Lytechinus pictus: one gene and its partner. The protein of the gene in region 1 interacts with the protein of each later gene in a biochemical or structural test. Links are inferred from orthologs where the notes say so. Each region holds a gene or a part of one and is shown on either strand. Other genes may lie near its edges.

The links.
Region 2: the proteins of 1-phosphatidylinositol 4,5-bisphosphate phosphodiesterase gamma-1-like (region 1) and SH3 domain-binding protein 2-like form a complex in vitro, tested with the Homo sapiens proteins (2 studies listed by BioGRID, with this or other methods). The link is inferred for Lytechinus pictus from reciprocal best matches to the Homo sapiens genes PLCG1 and SH3BP2.

What each region holds. Positions count from the first base shown.
Region 1 is NC_087246.1:61,769,992-61,778,933, reverse strand, and holds the start of 1-phosphatidylinositol 4,5-bisphosphate phosphodiesterase gamma-1-like, read left to right. Parts: upstream 1-5,526; 5' UTR 5,527-5,716; exon of another isoform or gene 5,717-5,728; intron 5,729-7,005; 5' UTR 7,006-7,105; coding exon 7,106-7,298; intron 7,299-8,942. UniProt on the Homo sapiens protein: Mediates the production of the second messenger molecules diacylglycerol (DAG) and inositol 1,4,5-trisphosphate (IP3). Plays an important role in the regulation of intracellular signaling cascades.
Region 2 is NC_087256.1:8,751,888-8,759,916, reverse strand, and holds the start of SH3 domain-binding protein 2-like, read left to right. Parts: upstream 1-4,389; 5' UTR 4,390-5,561; coding exon 5,562-5,694; intron 5,695-8,029. UniProt on the Homo sapiens protein: Binds differentially to the SH3 domains of certain proteins of signal transduction pathways. Binds to phosphatidylinositols; linking the hemopoietic tyrosine kinase fes to the cytoplasmic membrane in a phosphorylation dependent mechanism.

The sequences.
Region 1 (8,942 bases):
TGTTTCATAACACTTGTTATAATAATAAATTCGCCGTAACAGTTAAAACGCAATGAAATCACTAAATTTTATCGGCTAATAGTAAACTTGTTACAGTACTTGTGCATTTGTTATTTGTGAAGAGCTATGGTGTAGTGGCCGTGACTCTCCCCTCGTAATTAATTTAAGAGGGTCGTGTGTTTGAATCCCACTGCGGCATACATGTAGTACCCTGTGGCAAGGTGTGAATCCACACTTTGCCACTCTCTACCCAGGTGTTAAATAGGTACCCAGTAGGATGTGAATGTCATTGTATCTTGTCCAGCATTGTGTGTGCCTCATGGGCGACTGGCTGGAATACTCCACAGGGAGTGGAGGATGTGCATAATACATGGTGTGCGGAAAATGATTGAATATGATGAATAATAAATCTATAAGTGCTTAGATATGTTCAATGTGCCATATATCTTAGAGCATTTTAAATAACCAGGGGGGTGTTTCACAAGATTTAAGTATGACTTAGGGTCGCACTTCAATGTCTAGTTGTGCGTAGTATAAAAGACATGACAGTATTGATCAGATCATGGCAAGAGGACGCGCACTACTGCGTATTGATCAATGAGATTGCGCGTTGCATATCATGTACGCGTCAGCATTTAAGTGCGACCTAAGTCATAATTAAATCTTTGTGAAGCACCCCCCCCCCCCAGATTATTATAACGAGTCTTTATGTAATAGGACCTTGGGGTGTGTTTCACCATGGACCCTACCACAATTGATACATTTAGATGGTAACATGATATAGTATGTGCTGTACTAGAAAGACATTTATTATAAACTAAAAAATTAAGATTATCATAAACATTTGGTTTCACCTAAATTCACAGTTTTGTATGCCAAATGATACATTATCACATTGATGATATCTTGCTTAAGTGACATGCCCTGCTGATACCAAATGCATACACGTAAGCCTGAATATAATTGTAGTAAAATCCATTCGGCATTTTCTGGAAACCTGCTCGAAATTTGAATTTACAGTGGTGCTATAAAGTTAGTGAACCCACCAGAAAATGCACTCCTTCATGCTGAGTGTTAAATGGAGACAGCAACACCACAATGTTCGGCGAGCACAGAGAAACAAACTTTATTGAATGTAATATTTTATCACCTAACTTCACCATTAAATATATAAAACATGGCAGAACTTGAACACTTGAAATATGTTCATTTTCTGGTTGGGTTCACTAACTTTTTCGCACCACTGTATGTATACTTGTTAATTCAACCAGAACTTTCTCCATATTAATGTTTCAAACCAAATACGAACCAGCAGCCTTGTATAGCACCACCTCAAGTTCTCAACTACTCAAATCTGGCCTGGTTCCTGACCCATAATGCAACATAACAGTGAAGTCTTGTAAAATAGGTCCACTTGAATGCTACCACACCAATATGATACTCAATACATGTATACCACAATAATCAAGTTGCCAAGAAGCGATTAAGTGCGTTACCTTTCCTCTCAAAAAAACTTTCTAAGTTTCTCTACAGAAATAAGATTTAAAGGCCAATTTATGATCTTTATTAATATTATCAACAAAATAAATAAAAATGAATATTTTAAGATTAGCTGTTTATAACACACAGACAATGAGAGACCACAGACATTGTTGGGTCAGTTTGTTCCCCCTTAAAGGGATGGTCCGGGCTGAAAATATTTATATCTTAATACATAGAGTAGAATTCACCGAGCAAAATGCCGAAAATTTCATCAAAATCGGATAACAAATAATAAAGTTATTGAAGTTTAAAGTTTTGCAATATTTTGTGAAAACAGTCGTCATGAATATTCATTAGGTGGGCTGATGATGTCACATCTCCACTTTCCGTTTTCTTATGTTATTACATAAAATCATAATTTTTTCATTATTTCATACTTGTGTGAATAATATGTCTCCCTTATAATGAAATAAGTTGCATCAATAAATATCTAATGCACTAAATCAGTTGTCATTCCAATTTGTCTACTTCTTGGAGGAAAAAAATTGAATAAACCTCATTTCATATAATAAAATACAAAAGAACAAGTGGAGATGTGACATCATCAGCCCACCTAATGAATATTCATGATGACTGTTTTCCCCAAATATTGCTAAACTTTAAAATTCAATTACTTTGTTATTTGTTATCCGATTTTGATGAAATTTTTGGCATTTTGCTCAGTGAATTCTACTCTATTTATTAAGCTATAAATACTTTCAGCCCGGACCATCCCTTTAATTAAACCATGGATGAGAAATAAACTTCTGTCTACTAAGTAAAGTAGACAATGTATGCAAATTGCACATGCATACTTAGAGAACACCTTTGATTAAATGTTCATTTATCTATTTTATTATGTGTTTTTGTATTTATTTAATTAACTCCTTATTTGTTTATTTATATTTATTTATATATTTATTCATTTATTTGTTTATATTTATTCATTTGTATGTTTAAATAGTGATTTTTTTTACAAATAAGCATAAATATATCAGTTTATTTGGATTATGTTTTGTATGTGGTACAAACAACTTAATTTTTGAATTTTTATTTACTTTTTTTTTCTTTTGAAAATGATTTCCCCCCCCCCAGAATTAAGGATATTGAGTCCACAGACAAGGTTTATCTCATGTAATCTTCATCTAGGGCCCATTGCTTTAAAAAAAAAAATTTCTTGTCTGTTTTTTTTTTCTTGATGTATGATACTCCATCCATCGTTCTCCTTACTTTAAAGGAAATTTACCTTGTGAAACTTAGTTGCCATACGTTTCCTGTACAGCTACTTCTCTATGTAAACACGACTACTGTATGTATTCACTCAGATTAAATTAAATATGTTAATATGTTGAGATGATCTCATATGTACAAGATGTGAATGTCTTTGTTGTTGCCTATTTAGCATCCCAGGAATACTTGAAAAATTAATCCCAGTATTTGGTAATGTAGAAGAAGAAGAAAAAAAAACCAGTAGTTTTTAGTAAAAGTTGATTAATTAAGTTAAAAAAGGTTAGATGAAAAATCTGGAGCCAGTGAAGCTTCTTATTGAGTGCAAGATACAAGCTACTGTTGTTGGTTACCTAAACCTTGCTATTTAATCGGCTAAAAGTAATTTGATCATAAAATTTTTGTTTTTTATATATTTTTTTGAAATCTGGCCCATGTTTTTTATTAGAAATTCTTTGCTTCACTAACGGTCACATTAACTAATTTCCACTTGGCCTAGCCCCATCTAGTGTTTATAGATGAACTTTTCATGAACTTTTTTTCATTTGACTAAGTGGCAAATAACTGTTAGGCCAAGGATTGTATAGAACAATATTGATAGTAGAAAGTAGGTTTGACCAAAATGGTATTAGATTAAGTGAATATAAACCAAATATACACACAAAATAATACAGAAACCCTGGTGTCAAGAATCAGCCAAGACACATCAATGCCTTAAGTATCAAGGGGGAGGGGTGAGTCCCTTTACCCCCCCCCCTCCCACAGTAAAACAGAGAGTGGGGAAAGTGAAAGAGATAACAGGAAAGAGGGAGAGATAAATTATTGATGAGGGGAAGGGCTGTAGCGAACGGCCCTGCAACCCCTTTACCCAATTAAAAAAAAAAAGAGGCGAATGGGGAGGGAGGATTAAAATCTGGGGTCAGAATGGCCTTGTTCCTAAACAAGAAAGATAGTAAGAGGGAGAAAGAGAAAACGAAATAAAGAAATTTAAAAAAAAAAATCAAAAATGTGCCGAACGGTAAGTGTGATAGGAAAGTAGAACAGTTGAAACTTTTTTCTCGCAAAATGAGAGAATGGAAGCCATTGCCTCCTGTTATAACATATAAGTAGAGAATTAGAAGGAAAGGAAGGAGAAGGGGTGGAAAAAAGACGAATGAATAGAGAGGGAGAAAATGAGGCCGGGATCGACACTATCCTTCACTCTCAAACCGCATTCAAAAAAGGACAAAGAATGAAAAGGGAAAAAATTAAAGGGGGAGGCCTGTGGACAAAATGCGCACTGCATATCTTCCCCTCAACTGGGCCAAAACGGAGGTAAAAGGGTAAAGGAGACAAAAAAGAAGAAGAAGAAGCAGTCCGAAGCGCGATCGTTTTTTTTTTAATGGTGTCAAGGTTTGCTATTTGCCAAATCTTGCCCTCTCATACCCCCTTTTTATCCTTTATTCCTCTTCTTTTCATTATCCTTCCCTTACTTTTCGTTCCTCCACCCTTGGTCTTCTTCTTTTCCTTTTCTCCCTTTGTTTTCGCTGCCAGTATGGGGCAGTGGTTGCTTCAGCCCCCGGGTCCACCTACAGCTCTCTATTTCCCTCGTCAATCTATTTAATTTTGTAAAAGAGGCCGCTAGGGCTTTAAAAGTCCTAGATTCACATTTTTTCAGTAAAAAAATTACTTTTAGTTACGTTCCTGTACTCAATTGTTTGTTTTGTGTTTTTCCTTTTCTATCTTCGTTATTTCTTTAATGCTGCAAGGTCTTTTCGGCACGGCCTCTTTTTCCCCATCTTCACTTTCACTTCCTCCTTTCCTTTCCCAAATTCTCATCCACTTCTTCTTACCCTTCTCTCCTTTTTTTTTTCGGGGGGGGGGGGTGAGGCCCCTTTCCATTTTTTTCTTTCTCTCATTCCTCTCCCCCCATTCTTTTTCATTCCCTTCTCTCCCTCCCTTCTTTCGCCTTTCTCCTTACTTTTCTCCCCTCCTTTCCCTTCCCCCTTTTTTCGGGGGGGGGGGGGGGCCCAATCGGCCCCATGAAGGTTATGAAAGGGCAAGGAGGTGGATGGATGGGAGTAATCACAATCGAAGTTTGTCAAAAGATATATAAAACTTTCTTTTAGTGACAGACAAACATCACATGATATCAAACTAGGTAAATGAAAATGACGCAAAGTGATAGTTAATTGTTTTATCACAATAACAGTATTTAATGCGGTAAGCAAAAATATATTGTGCAATCCCGGTGTGCAATTTATTGGTAAGTGGTAAATAGCCGACATAATTATTTGCCTGGTCGCCTACTAAACCTTGCTATAAAACTTTCTTCAAGGAAATGTCCTGCCTTTTCCTTATTCTGGTTTCTTCTTCTTCCTTTTCATATTCCTCTTCATCTTTTCTCCTTTTCTTGTTCCTCAATCCCTTTTCCTTTCCCCTCCCAGGGCCCTGGCAACTTTTTTTGGGGGTGGGGTGCTGAAGTAAATTTGAAAAGAAACAAAAAAAGGGGGTTCACTTTAAATTGAAGGTCGTTTTGGTACCAAAACATTTGACAAGCAAAAAACAATCAAAAGGGTTTCAACACAAAATGTTGGTCATTTTACATACATTTGTCCAATTTTACACACCTACCAGAATTCCAGGGGGTGCTGCCTAATGAAAATAATACATGCAGCATCCCTTGGGGAAAATCTTGGGGGTGCACCCCCGCTTCCCAGGGCCATACCCCCTCCCCTCTATCATCCGAAATCTCAGATCAACAAACTCGTAGAACTGACCGCATTGAGCTCCCTCTTTAGTTCAACCAAGAGTAAGACGGAAGTAAGACTTGATAAACAATATATACGGCCAGACAGTACACAGTACAGGCTGGGCCAGCGCCACACAATTGTATACGAATAGGACTAAGTGAGACTCTGCAGTATCACCGTCATACAACTTTAGGAAATAGTGTTGAACTTGATTATTCTAATGTTTCAGGCCAACAGTAAGTTATATGGTAAGGCATTTTGTATTTTTTATCGTTTCTGATATTAAAGAAACTGCAGTATTTACAAATCCAGCGCAAGAAAAGTAAAATAATCCGATGTGATTAATTGATGAAGTGAACGTGTGTGTTTCATGATTTGTGAATAAGTTACCTCGAGCGAAGTTCGTGCAGGCTCCACTCCACTTCACTACCGCTACACTACACTCCACCTACCCGAACTTCGAGACAGTGAACTCGATCGGACATTCTGAGTCACAAAGGTGGGATGGAAATCATGTTTATTGTAAAAATTAAAGAAAAATAATATAACGAGAAAGATAAACAACTTAATATCTTACTCTTCATCCATATTTCACTCCGTGTCCATCCTCCGATTATCCTCAAAATTGGTGATTTTTGGGCCAGTATCTTTTTCCTCACACGTATTATTCACGGCTGATTTCAAAACATTGCATGCGATCGAGATCGGTTTGACCTGCAACCGATCGCGATCGCATGCGATGTTTTGAAATCAGCCGTGAATAATACGAAAAAAATTCTCACACAAGTCACAGTTCACATAATATTAATTAGAATCTAAACAAATTGCTTACCCTGAAAAATACCTGAATCTGCTTGGTCTCCAAAAGAGAATTCTTGAGATATTATGCATGAAAAGACCACAGCATATAATTTAAAGTGAAGTAAGTCCCTGCTTAAATTTTCTTTAAAGTTAATGTATAAATTGGGCCAGCATGATATTTATATTAAGGCAATTGACATCATCTTGGCACAGTTTCTATTCAAAATTTTAGGTTAGATAAAGAAAAATTATAAAACCTTGTTGGAGGGAATAAAACAATAGACTACGGGGACTAGTTCCTCACACTGCATGCATGATGGCTATCCTGTGTAGCCTGTAGGGGGAGAAAGTAAAAAAGTAAAAGAAAAAAAAGATTAGAAAATCCAAACAGACGGATTTCAGCTGTCTCTAAATAATATTAGTTTGCTTTTGTTAAGTTAGAGTCACTCCCTTGCCTTACTTATTTCAATAGTATGCATTGCAACTGTGCAAAGGCTTAATTGAGTAGTTACAAGACTTGGTATTCTGAAAAGTCTCATAACTGCATACCACTCAATTGGTGGATTTTCCATTAGGAAAAATAATGTTGATTAAGCTTAAAGGTCCATTAAATGTAACTTAAGACTAGTGTGACTTTAAATCTTAGTGAAACACTGGTCTAATTATTTTGCACATAGTCCTAAAGGGTTCAGAAAAAACTTCTCCATTCTCTTGTTCTTTGTAGATTGTTTGTGGAGCTTGGGAATCTTAATCAGCCATTGCTGCTGTGACGGGTGAGCACGACAGAGGATCCTTGAGGGGTCATTGGTGTTGACTGCTGGGAGATGGCGGTGATACAGAACGGCACCATGGAGCTAACCGAACAGGACATACACAGCATGCAGCACAACCTGGCCCTTGGTACGCTCTTGACCCGCTTTTATGGCCGCAAGAGACCCGAGCGTAAATCTTTTGAGGTCAATATGGAGACCAGGCAGGTTGTATGGAGGAGGCAGGGAGGACGAACTGAAGGAGCAAGTGAGTCAACTAAATTAATTTTGATATTTCATAGATAGAATCTATAGAATCATAAAGCTATTCTTAAAGGAGAATGAAACCTTTGGAACAAGATAGCTTGTGTGAAAACAGAAAAATAAAAGAAAACGATCAATCAAAGTTTGAGAAAATCGGACAAATAATGAGAAAGTTATGAGCATTTGAATATTGCGATCACTAATACTATGGAGATCCTCACATTGGCAATGCGACAAATATGTGTGATGTCACTTGTGAACAACTCTCCTCATTACTTTAGTATATATTTCACTTAAACTGCATCTTTTATTACATCTATCAGGAGATCAATTTTTTTTCTATAGGAGGGCATGTAATACAGATTTTTAAAGAATACATCATGGATAAAGAGTTTGTATCATTTTGGGGGTATTTCATAGTCCATCAAAGGGAAATTTGTTCACATGTGACATCACACATCCTTGTTGCATTGCCAATGGGAGGATCTCCATAGCATTAGTGATTGCAATATTCAAATGCTCATAACTTTCTCATTATTTGTCCGATTTTTCTCAAACTTTCTTTGTTCTTACTCTTTGATTTTCTGTTTCGACATAAGCTTACTTGTTCCAAAGGTTTCATTCCCCTTTTAGTTAAAAGCGACTTTACAAATGACTGGTGACCCTATCGTTGGAACGAAATCAAGACCAATGAAAATCTGGTATATTTCATTTACCACAAGAAAGGATAACTAGTCATTTGCAAAGTGGCCCGTAACTTATAAACAGCTTTATAAAACCCTTACCGGGCTTACTGGGCGTTGTGGCGTGCGCCTGTAATCCAAGCTGTGGGGAAGTTACAAATTGATGCAGAGGTTCGAGGTTCATGCCCTGGTCACGTCTTTCGGACAGTGACATTAAAGGTCGGTCCCAGACGTAAATAATCATATCTGATTGATACACGTCTGACAAAACTCAAATACACACACTCCGGGCTTATTGATAAAAAAACAAAACATCGCAGCATAGTCAAATTGGGAGGAGTTTACACTCCCAATTTCAAAGTTCAAAAATATAACACTACACAAGGAAATATAAGTTGAAAAGTAAATTGTATATCGTATGTTAAAAACTCTATAATAGATTAGCATTCTATTATAATAATATAAAGAACACAAATTTTGAAGCTTTGATTTGAAATTCATTGTTTTTATATCATGTCAAGAAAAACAAAAGAAGAATACACTGTGAACAGGGGTGGGAAGGGGAGAAATGAGAAGAGGAGAAGGAAGAAGAACAACAAAGAGAGAAAGGAGAAGAGGAACAAAAAGAAAGAGGGAAAATGGATGAAGGAGAAAAGAAAAAGAAATTGAATATGAATTATACAAGCTGAAGTACACATAATTTTAGCAAATAAGATATGATCCATATATTCTGACACTAGCATTTTCTATGATGTTGGATTATGGACCGTGAAACAGCTATTGTTTGATTACCGTTCCCTTGAAGGGAATCTATTCTTGATTTTGAGTTTTCTGCAGAAAAATCATTGTGAAAGTTGGCTTCTCTGTATATATCTGGCATAGTGTCTAAAAAAAATTGAGGAGGCACAACATGACGCGCAGTAAAAATACTGAGCGAGCAATGCGAGCAAGTTCAAAATTTGACC
Region 2 (8,029 bases), on another chromosome or scaffold:
TTTGAAGCTAATAATTTAACAAATTATAATATGAAGTTGTTTTCATCCATATTATTTTAAAGATAAATACCAGTTGTGGTAACGATCTCAAAATGAGTTCGAACAGAATCCAATAAAATTACCACCCAAGTTTTTGTATGTAATAAATAAAAAATATGTGCCAAATAGCTCTCTGGAAGAAAATGCGTAATTACTGAGAAATGAGCAAAATAAGTATGGAATTCCATCAAATGTTTGGTATTTTCCCAAGCAATATTAATACACTGTCCCACACATGCTATTTCTGTGTTGATGAGCATCAGAATTGTCAGTTTTGAGCTAAGATTTCATGATTTCACAAAGATAGGTTTAGATTGATGTACCAGATCTAGATATATGATAATATAGTGACAGTTAACCTTGATTTAAAAAACTTTCTCATGAAATAATTGTTTACTGCAACTACTTTCCTTTTCCTTAAAATGCAGTTAATCAGATTCAAGAATGTTTGATTGGTTACAGGGATGTAGCAGACTGGCATTGGCTGGCTAGGGTCTACATTGTGATTGCCACCTGTACAAGAGCATAAGGTTTCTAAAACCAGAAAGAGTTTTATCAGAGAGAGAGGCGACCACACTATGGCTTGGAAAACGGGTAGGGAGTCGATGATCAGCATCAACTTCCCAACAAGCCTTCACCTACAACCCCTCCAGAGAACGACATCAGAATCGTGTCTACACTCCAGGGAAGGTCTTGAAAACATCAGTAAGTAGATGTCATTAATTTGAATTTAGAGTGTTTTCAAGCAAATTCCTGTGTATTATATTTACATATACATAAAAGTGTGCCCTTACTATGACATCACTCATTTGTGTTTAATATTCTTGAGTGATTAGTTAAGCACAGTGTACTCAAAACCATGCATTAATCACATTGTTCCTCTCTTTCAAAATGATTACAAACTTCATTTACTGTCCCTTTCACGAGGTAAAAAAATTGTAATTTGAATGATGATTCCAGTGAAAAATCAAGCTAATGACGAATTTTTAGCACGTGTAAAACCAAACTAAAATCACGAACGCTATTAATCACAATCATGAATTCAAATTGGTGAATTGTGAATTCCAGTTAAGTTTCACTCAAATTATGGTACAAATTGTATGTGTGAAAGGTCCAATGATTCTAAAGACAAACTGCAGTCATCATTACTATGATGAATCAAGATTCACGTGTGAAAAGGCCCTTGGATACTACAGTTGAACCTGATTCTTCCGTGCTTCAGAATTATTAATTCAGTTAAATATTAATGTAATTTTTCAATTCTCACTCACTGTCCATGCAATCTTGTAGGTTTATTTCCAATTCGTCCAATTGCCAACTCGTCTTCTATCATTTGGTCTACCATCAGTTTGTCCACTCACCACATGGTCTACTTTCATTTAGTCTAATGCCAATCCGTCTAATAACCAGTTGGTCCAATAGCCATTTAGTCCATATACCATTTGGTCTAATTGGACTAGAGTGTTGATTGTGCAATATGAATGAAAATGAAATTAGACCAACTGGTTATTAGACAAAATGGTCGTGGACGAAATGGTGATTAGACAAAGTGGTGATTGGACCAAATGGTTGTTAGAAAAATGTTGGTGGACGGAATGGCATGAGACTAAATGAAAGTAGACCGTGTGGTGAGTGGACGAGTTGGTAGTAGAAGAATGGGCAATTTACCATCTTAATGTCTAAGGAAAAAGCGTTCGACCCCATAGCCATGATCATTGGTGGCACATGAAATTTTGAAATGCACAAATGAAAGAATCATGATTCAAGATTCAAAGCAATATTTTGCTATCATCCAGGAGCTCATTCTTGCAATTTTAGTCAAGTTCTGCTGAATTCTATATTAGGTTTTTGCAAAAAGTAGTGCAAAAATTGACCTTGTGAATATGTATCAACTTCTGAGCACATGTTCCAAGTTGTATTATAGAAGCCTTCTTTGACGTCATTATGAGCATGATTGATTGATTGATTGAGCAAAATCCTAATATGAACAATAATTGATAAGATAAACAAAAACAAATTTTAATCTTCTGATCCTTTCATAAAAGTCTTTTTGCTACAGATCAACAGGAAAAATATGTCTAATTCAACCCATATACCCAAAGATTAAAGCAATACAAACCAGCAGCTTTGTATAGCACCGACTCAAGTCCCCTACTACTCGATACTGGCCATGTTTCTTACCCATAATGCAACATTCTAAGCAGTGCAGTCTTCTTCCCAAATTATTTCCTATTTGGAGACATTCAAAAGTCAAACCATTGCGAATGAAATACATGAAGAGATTTCACACACAGGAATTGCAATAAATTAATTCTTGATATATCAGTCAAAAGTCTTTATTTTATTTACTCTTAAATGTATTATAATCATAACAATAGTAATAGTCATTTATGTAGTGCTATCAATCTAGAAATAATCTTTTTGATGGGCACTATTATCATTACCCTGGAGTATAAGCTCAAGTTGCTGTTTGTAGCACATGTGTATTCAAGGAATCAATCCTGCCAGGTCCCCATTTACCTCACATGGATGCAGCATAATGTGGGTAAATTTCTTTTTTGAAAGAAAACACATCATGGCATGAATTTGATTTTGAACCCACAAACCTTGCATTGAAAGACAAGAGTTAGAACCACTAGACCATGATGCCCTGCCTCCCTCCTAGTTATTTTGATAACTGGCACCGCCCTTTTTAAATATTTGAGCTATAGGGCCAAATTTTAGCAAAATTTACCCATCAGATTCCCACAAAGGAATTTGGTTCCATTCAGTCATACATGTAGGTGATTTCACACCTCCATGACAAGAAAAATACCTGATATCTTGTCAGAGTGAACAACGCTACTTGTACCTGTAGATAATAGATAAATTAGTACATGTATACAGTACCTCTTAAAAAATGAAAATTTTCTCCAAGTTAGCAGTGACAATTTTAAGGTCTAATTCTCAGAATATTTATAGGAAGAATGCACTTTCTTACACACAAATACACATTCCTTGATGTAGTTCCATGAATTGTGAAAACGTCTGGGGTGTGAATCTGTGAAATATATTGTTAAAGCAAAATTTGGGGCGTCAAAGATCTTGTAATGTATTTTCCAGATTGGGAAGGTGTGAAAGTTCTTTATATCTTTTATAATTCGTTCACATACACAATTTAAAACACTGAAATGGTAATGCTAATTTCTATATGTATAAAGAAAAATTATACATCTTCATTTACTGAAACATATTGGAAAGCTGTAAAAAATGCTACAATATACATAGCCATATTCTAAATCAAATTACATGTAGATACCAAATGAATGAGCTATTCCAAAATAATTTAGATTTATTGAAAAATACTAAGCTTTTTTTTGCTTGTCAAATTTTCCTCTGGAAATGTGTCCCCCCCCCCCCCCCCTTTGGCAAATCCTGGATCCGTCCCTGACTGGGATTTTGTATTTTTTCCCAAAACTCATTATGAAGTAAGCCAAATAGCTTTTCCAAAACTTTAATATTGAACACTGACTATAAACATGATACATGATGGAAAGTTATTTAAAAAAAAACACAATAACTAATAATTTGAGCATCAGTCAGTTCAAACTAGAACTTGTCAAAGAAAATGAATGCTCTGATCAATCTTAAATTTATTTGTATTTGACATTGCTTTATTTGAGTTTCGAGATTTTTATCTTAACAGGCTATTATAGAAGCCATAGTTCATGTTTGTACACATAACTATCTTTAAGTTTTAAAAATCATTTTTGCATGTACTGTATATGTAGACTTGATCATAAATTATCGGCCTTTAACTTTACATACATGTACAGGTTGTATGTACAAGTAAAAGATAAAAATTGAATTAGATTTCACTTAGTTTCTATGATGCTAATTAAAGCACTTGTGGTTTTTATGCAGCTCAAATTGTATGTGAGAGATTTTTGTCTCATTTTACAGTTTCATCTTTTGCTTTTTAAGTCATTGCCTCCTGGAAACGGATGGTTGCTGTTCAAAGCATATGGTAATCACAGAATTGTGAAGTCAGTGTGTTAATGAAGATCAATGCACAGAGCTATACTTTCAGTGTTGGGGTCTTCTGTATGCCTGTATCTCAGTTTCTTCCAATTCACATATCATTAATGAGTAATTCTTGATTGGAAAACACTTGACCATATCCTGAATTTGTGACTAATGTATGTCTAATCAAAGTTTTAACGACCTTAATAATATCTAATTCAAAAGATATCAGTGAGGAGGAAGAAAATGATCGCTGGGTTGTTGAAATACAGTATGTAGGTGGGGTTTTCCCACTAGGACAGGTCTCATAAAACCTTGGACCTTGATATCACGATGAAATTTTGAACTGTACTTCCTGTGTATAAATTGGCATTCCTTTTCCATTATACATGCATGCAGCTGGATTATTTTATTCAATGTTCCTGGAGGTGTATTATCTATTAATATTGTATCCCGGTAGTTTATACATGGATGAGTGCAAGTTCATGGAGACCACATGGAAGTAGGGTGATATATCTGTATATCGCCTGTAAAGCAAAGTACCTGTTGAATAGTTTGATATATATTACAAATGGGATGTATTCAAATTTGATTTTTTTGTGAGGAATCGACCTGTGGAAATTCCTTTGTATGGGGATTTTATCTTCTCCCAGTTCATCATGCACCAGAGATGATCTGAGATTGATTGCTGTTAGAACATGTGAAGTTTCATGTGGCAGCTGAAAGAGGCGTAAAAGGTGACACGGGACCTTCCATCGTATCAGGGGTCACAACCGGGTGTTTGCTGGTTTTGATAATTGCTTCAGGTTCACAGTTGATCTGTGTACTGCCGTATGAAGAGGTTAGCACGTTTATGGATATCCTTCTTCTGAGCAATTAGACTGGTTTTGAATACTATGATGGACAATTTTGTTGGATTTTAGTATCTAAGAGTAAGAACAATCTCTGCTCTTACATGTAGATGGAACTTTCTACTCCCTGTAAAACTCATGTTTTGTGTACATTGAAGAAACAGATCAGCTAGTGAACTATTATAGAACAAAATCACTTAGATGTCTCATCAACTTATGTCAAGTGCATCGAGAACAAAGTACTGTCTGTTGTCATGTGACATCATCAGTTTTGCTAATTTCGATCAAGTGATTGACATTTTTTTTCCAACATTGCAAGTTTCAATTCACCTGACTTTATAATAACCAAGATTGGATACTTATTGCGCGATATAATCTCAACTACATGTACTGTAGGAACTGATACCTCTGTATCCAAAGTCCTCCATGGTCTATACTGAAGAGCAAAGACCCTCTAAAAGGCTCTCCAAAGCTTGATAATTTTTAAAACATTTAATATCTCCACAAGTTCTTGAGGATCACATATTTTGCAAGCGGAAGCGAGGATGCATGGAGGTTGGTTTTGTTCTGACTAATAATGGAACTGTTAGATAAATGAAGTGATTTTGTGATGGATCATATTGTCATGTCTTCCTGTCTGCCATGAACCTGGATGGCTGAAGACGGAAAATGGAGCAAGGTTATTATTTAGATCTAGATCCCGATCAAGGGGACGACGTGGAAGATGAACCAAAGTGCGATCCACCCTACGTGAATGCGGAGATCCAAGGATCATCAACGATGGATATACTCAAGAGAACAAGTATGACGCAGTAGTAATATTAGTTTAATAGTAGTAGAAGTAGTAGTAGTAGTAGTAGAAGTAGTAGTAGAAACCTATCTAGTTGTATAAAGTAGATTAAGTAGAGGTAGTGGTAGTGGTAGTAGCAGTAGTAAGTCAAAAAGTGGAAGAAGAAAAGAGTAGTAGAAGAAGAAGTGGTGGTGGTGATACTTGTAGTCACATGTGTAAATACATGATGTACATGATGTCATACTATTCAAGGGGGGGTCAACTATTGTGTCACCCCCCCCCCCCCAGCCCTGAAGAATAGGTTTGCTGCTTGATTATGCCAGTGCTTGTAATGAAGGTGGTGGTATAGTAATGGTTGTAGTATAAGTATTAGTAGAAGTACTAGTAGTAAATATTAGTCCTAGTAGTAGTAATAAAGGTGGTAGGAGTAGTAGATGATCAGACATAGTGGTATAAGAAATAGTCATTATAATAATAATAGGAAGAAGTACGTAGCAGTAGAAGTAGTGCCGTGGTAGCAACAGTGTGTAGAAGAGGCTGGGGGGTGAAGAAGGAGGAGAAGACAAAGGAGGAAGAGGAGAAGAAGAAGTGCAAGAGGAAGAAGACAAAGGAGGAGAAGAAGGAGAAGGTCTAAGCAGAAAGGAGATGAAGGAGGAGGAGGAGAAGAAGAAGGAGGAGGAAATGTAGAAGATAAAGGGAAAGAACAAGGCAGTGGGGGCTGATTAGGAGGAGTATGAGGATTGGGAGTAGAAAAAATAAAAAATTATTAAGAAGAAGCCTAGCAGGGAAAGAGGAAGACAGTAAGGGGTTTGGAGTGGCAGAAGTAATTGTAGAAGTAATAGGCTTTATTGGATAATATTTAGCACAGGCATAGTGGCATACATATATTAAAGACAGAAGCTATCAAGCTTGGTAGAAACCATCAGATCGATTGATCATCCCAACAAACCATACCTGCCACATGGTCCAAAGGGCAATGGCTTTGTTTAATACTGTGCTGTAATTCATTTAATCAATAGATAATCAGACAATTTTGAACTTGCTCTCATGTTTATTTTGTTTCTAAAAGCCATCTTTGTTTTGATTACCAGTGCAAACATTGGGATACACGTAATTTGGCGTGACTCAGATCAATAGTAATTTGTATTTCAAATGACAAGTTTTGAAGAGGTAGTATATGGCGTATGGGGGCTATTTCTAAATACTCTAACCTTTTGAAAATGAGAATCTAATTTTGTGACAGATTGTAACATAAATTCCAGTTAAGGATTTCATAGTTGACAATTTTCTCTTTCATTTCCTTTTTTTTCCTTGTTTCCCTTTATTTTATTTCATTTATTTCTTTTTCTCAGTCATAGAACTTTTGAAGGGATAGGGCAAGTGCCCCAAGCCCTCAACCATCTGTACACCAGTAGATGTGGGTATAGTCAATTTACATGTACAGTGTAGATCCTATTCATGTGCAACTTGATTGTATCATAGCACTGAAGGATGCCAATTTATAGCTACTTAATTATTGTTGAGATAAAAAGCCACAACTCTAATTAAAGCAATGAATATGAGACCAATATTAGTTTAGATATTCTTTTTATTTCCTGAAATCAAACAGTGCACCAACGTTTGGTAAAAGAGGAGAACATTTTTCTTCTCAATTTTTCTTCATCTTTTGATTCAGCTATCCTCTGCAAAAATGAGCAATTTAAGGCAAAAGTCTTATAGCCTAACATTTTGACTTTCAACATCCAAGCTACAAGGTCCGACTGTCGACTGTGATGTTATAAAAATGAAGCCCCCAAAAAAATCTTAGTGGAAAAAAGTGAAATATATAACTGACTGAATACACCATCTTAATTTCATCCCATACACGAACATACTATTAATCTCCAAAGAGGAGGTTTGGTGAAATTTATGATTTTTCAGTCACAGATATCTTGAAAGAGTCTGCTCAAATTTGATTTTTTTTTTCTTCCTGGGTGATTTTTACACCCATATGAGCAGTATCGTAACATGAATCAAATTCAAATTTGTTTAAATACGACCTACATGCCTGCCTTTAAGAGTGGGCTGAGCAGAATGAATCATTTAACAAAACAAGGAGAAGAGAAGAAAGGTAACTATTTTGTTTTTTGGTGAAATCTCAAGCAAAGATCTGAATAGAATAATTAGTGTTCAATATCATAGTGATGCCATGCTTCAAGGAGCTAGAATTTCCTGGTAAATGATTCAGTGAAGTAAAGCACACAGGATGGTTGGCAAATGAGTTTTTAATAGTTTGGAGGAACGATGTAATTGAATCAGGATAGCGTCTATAGATCTCAACATGCGTTGATAGGCTTGATCCATATCC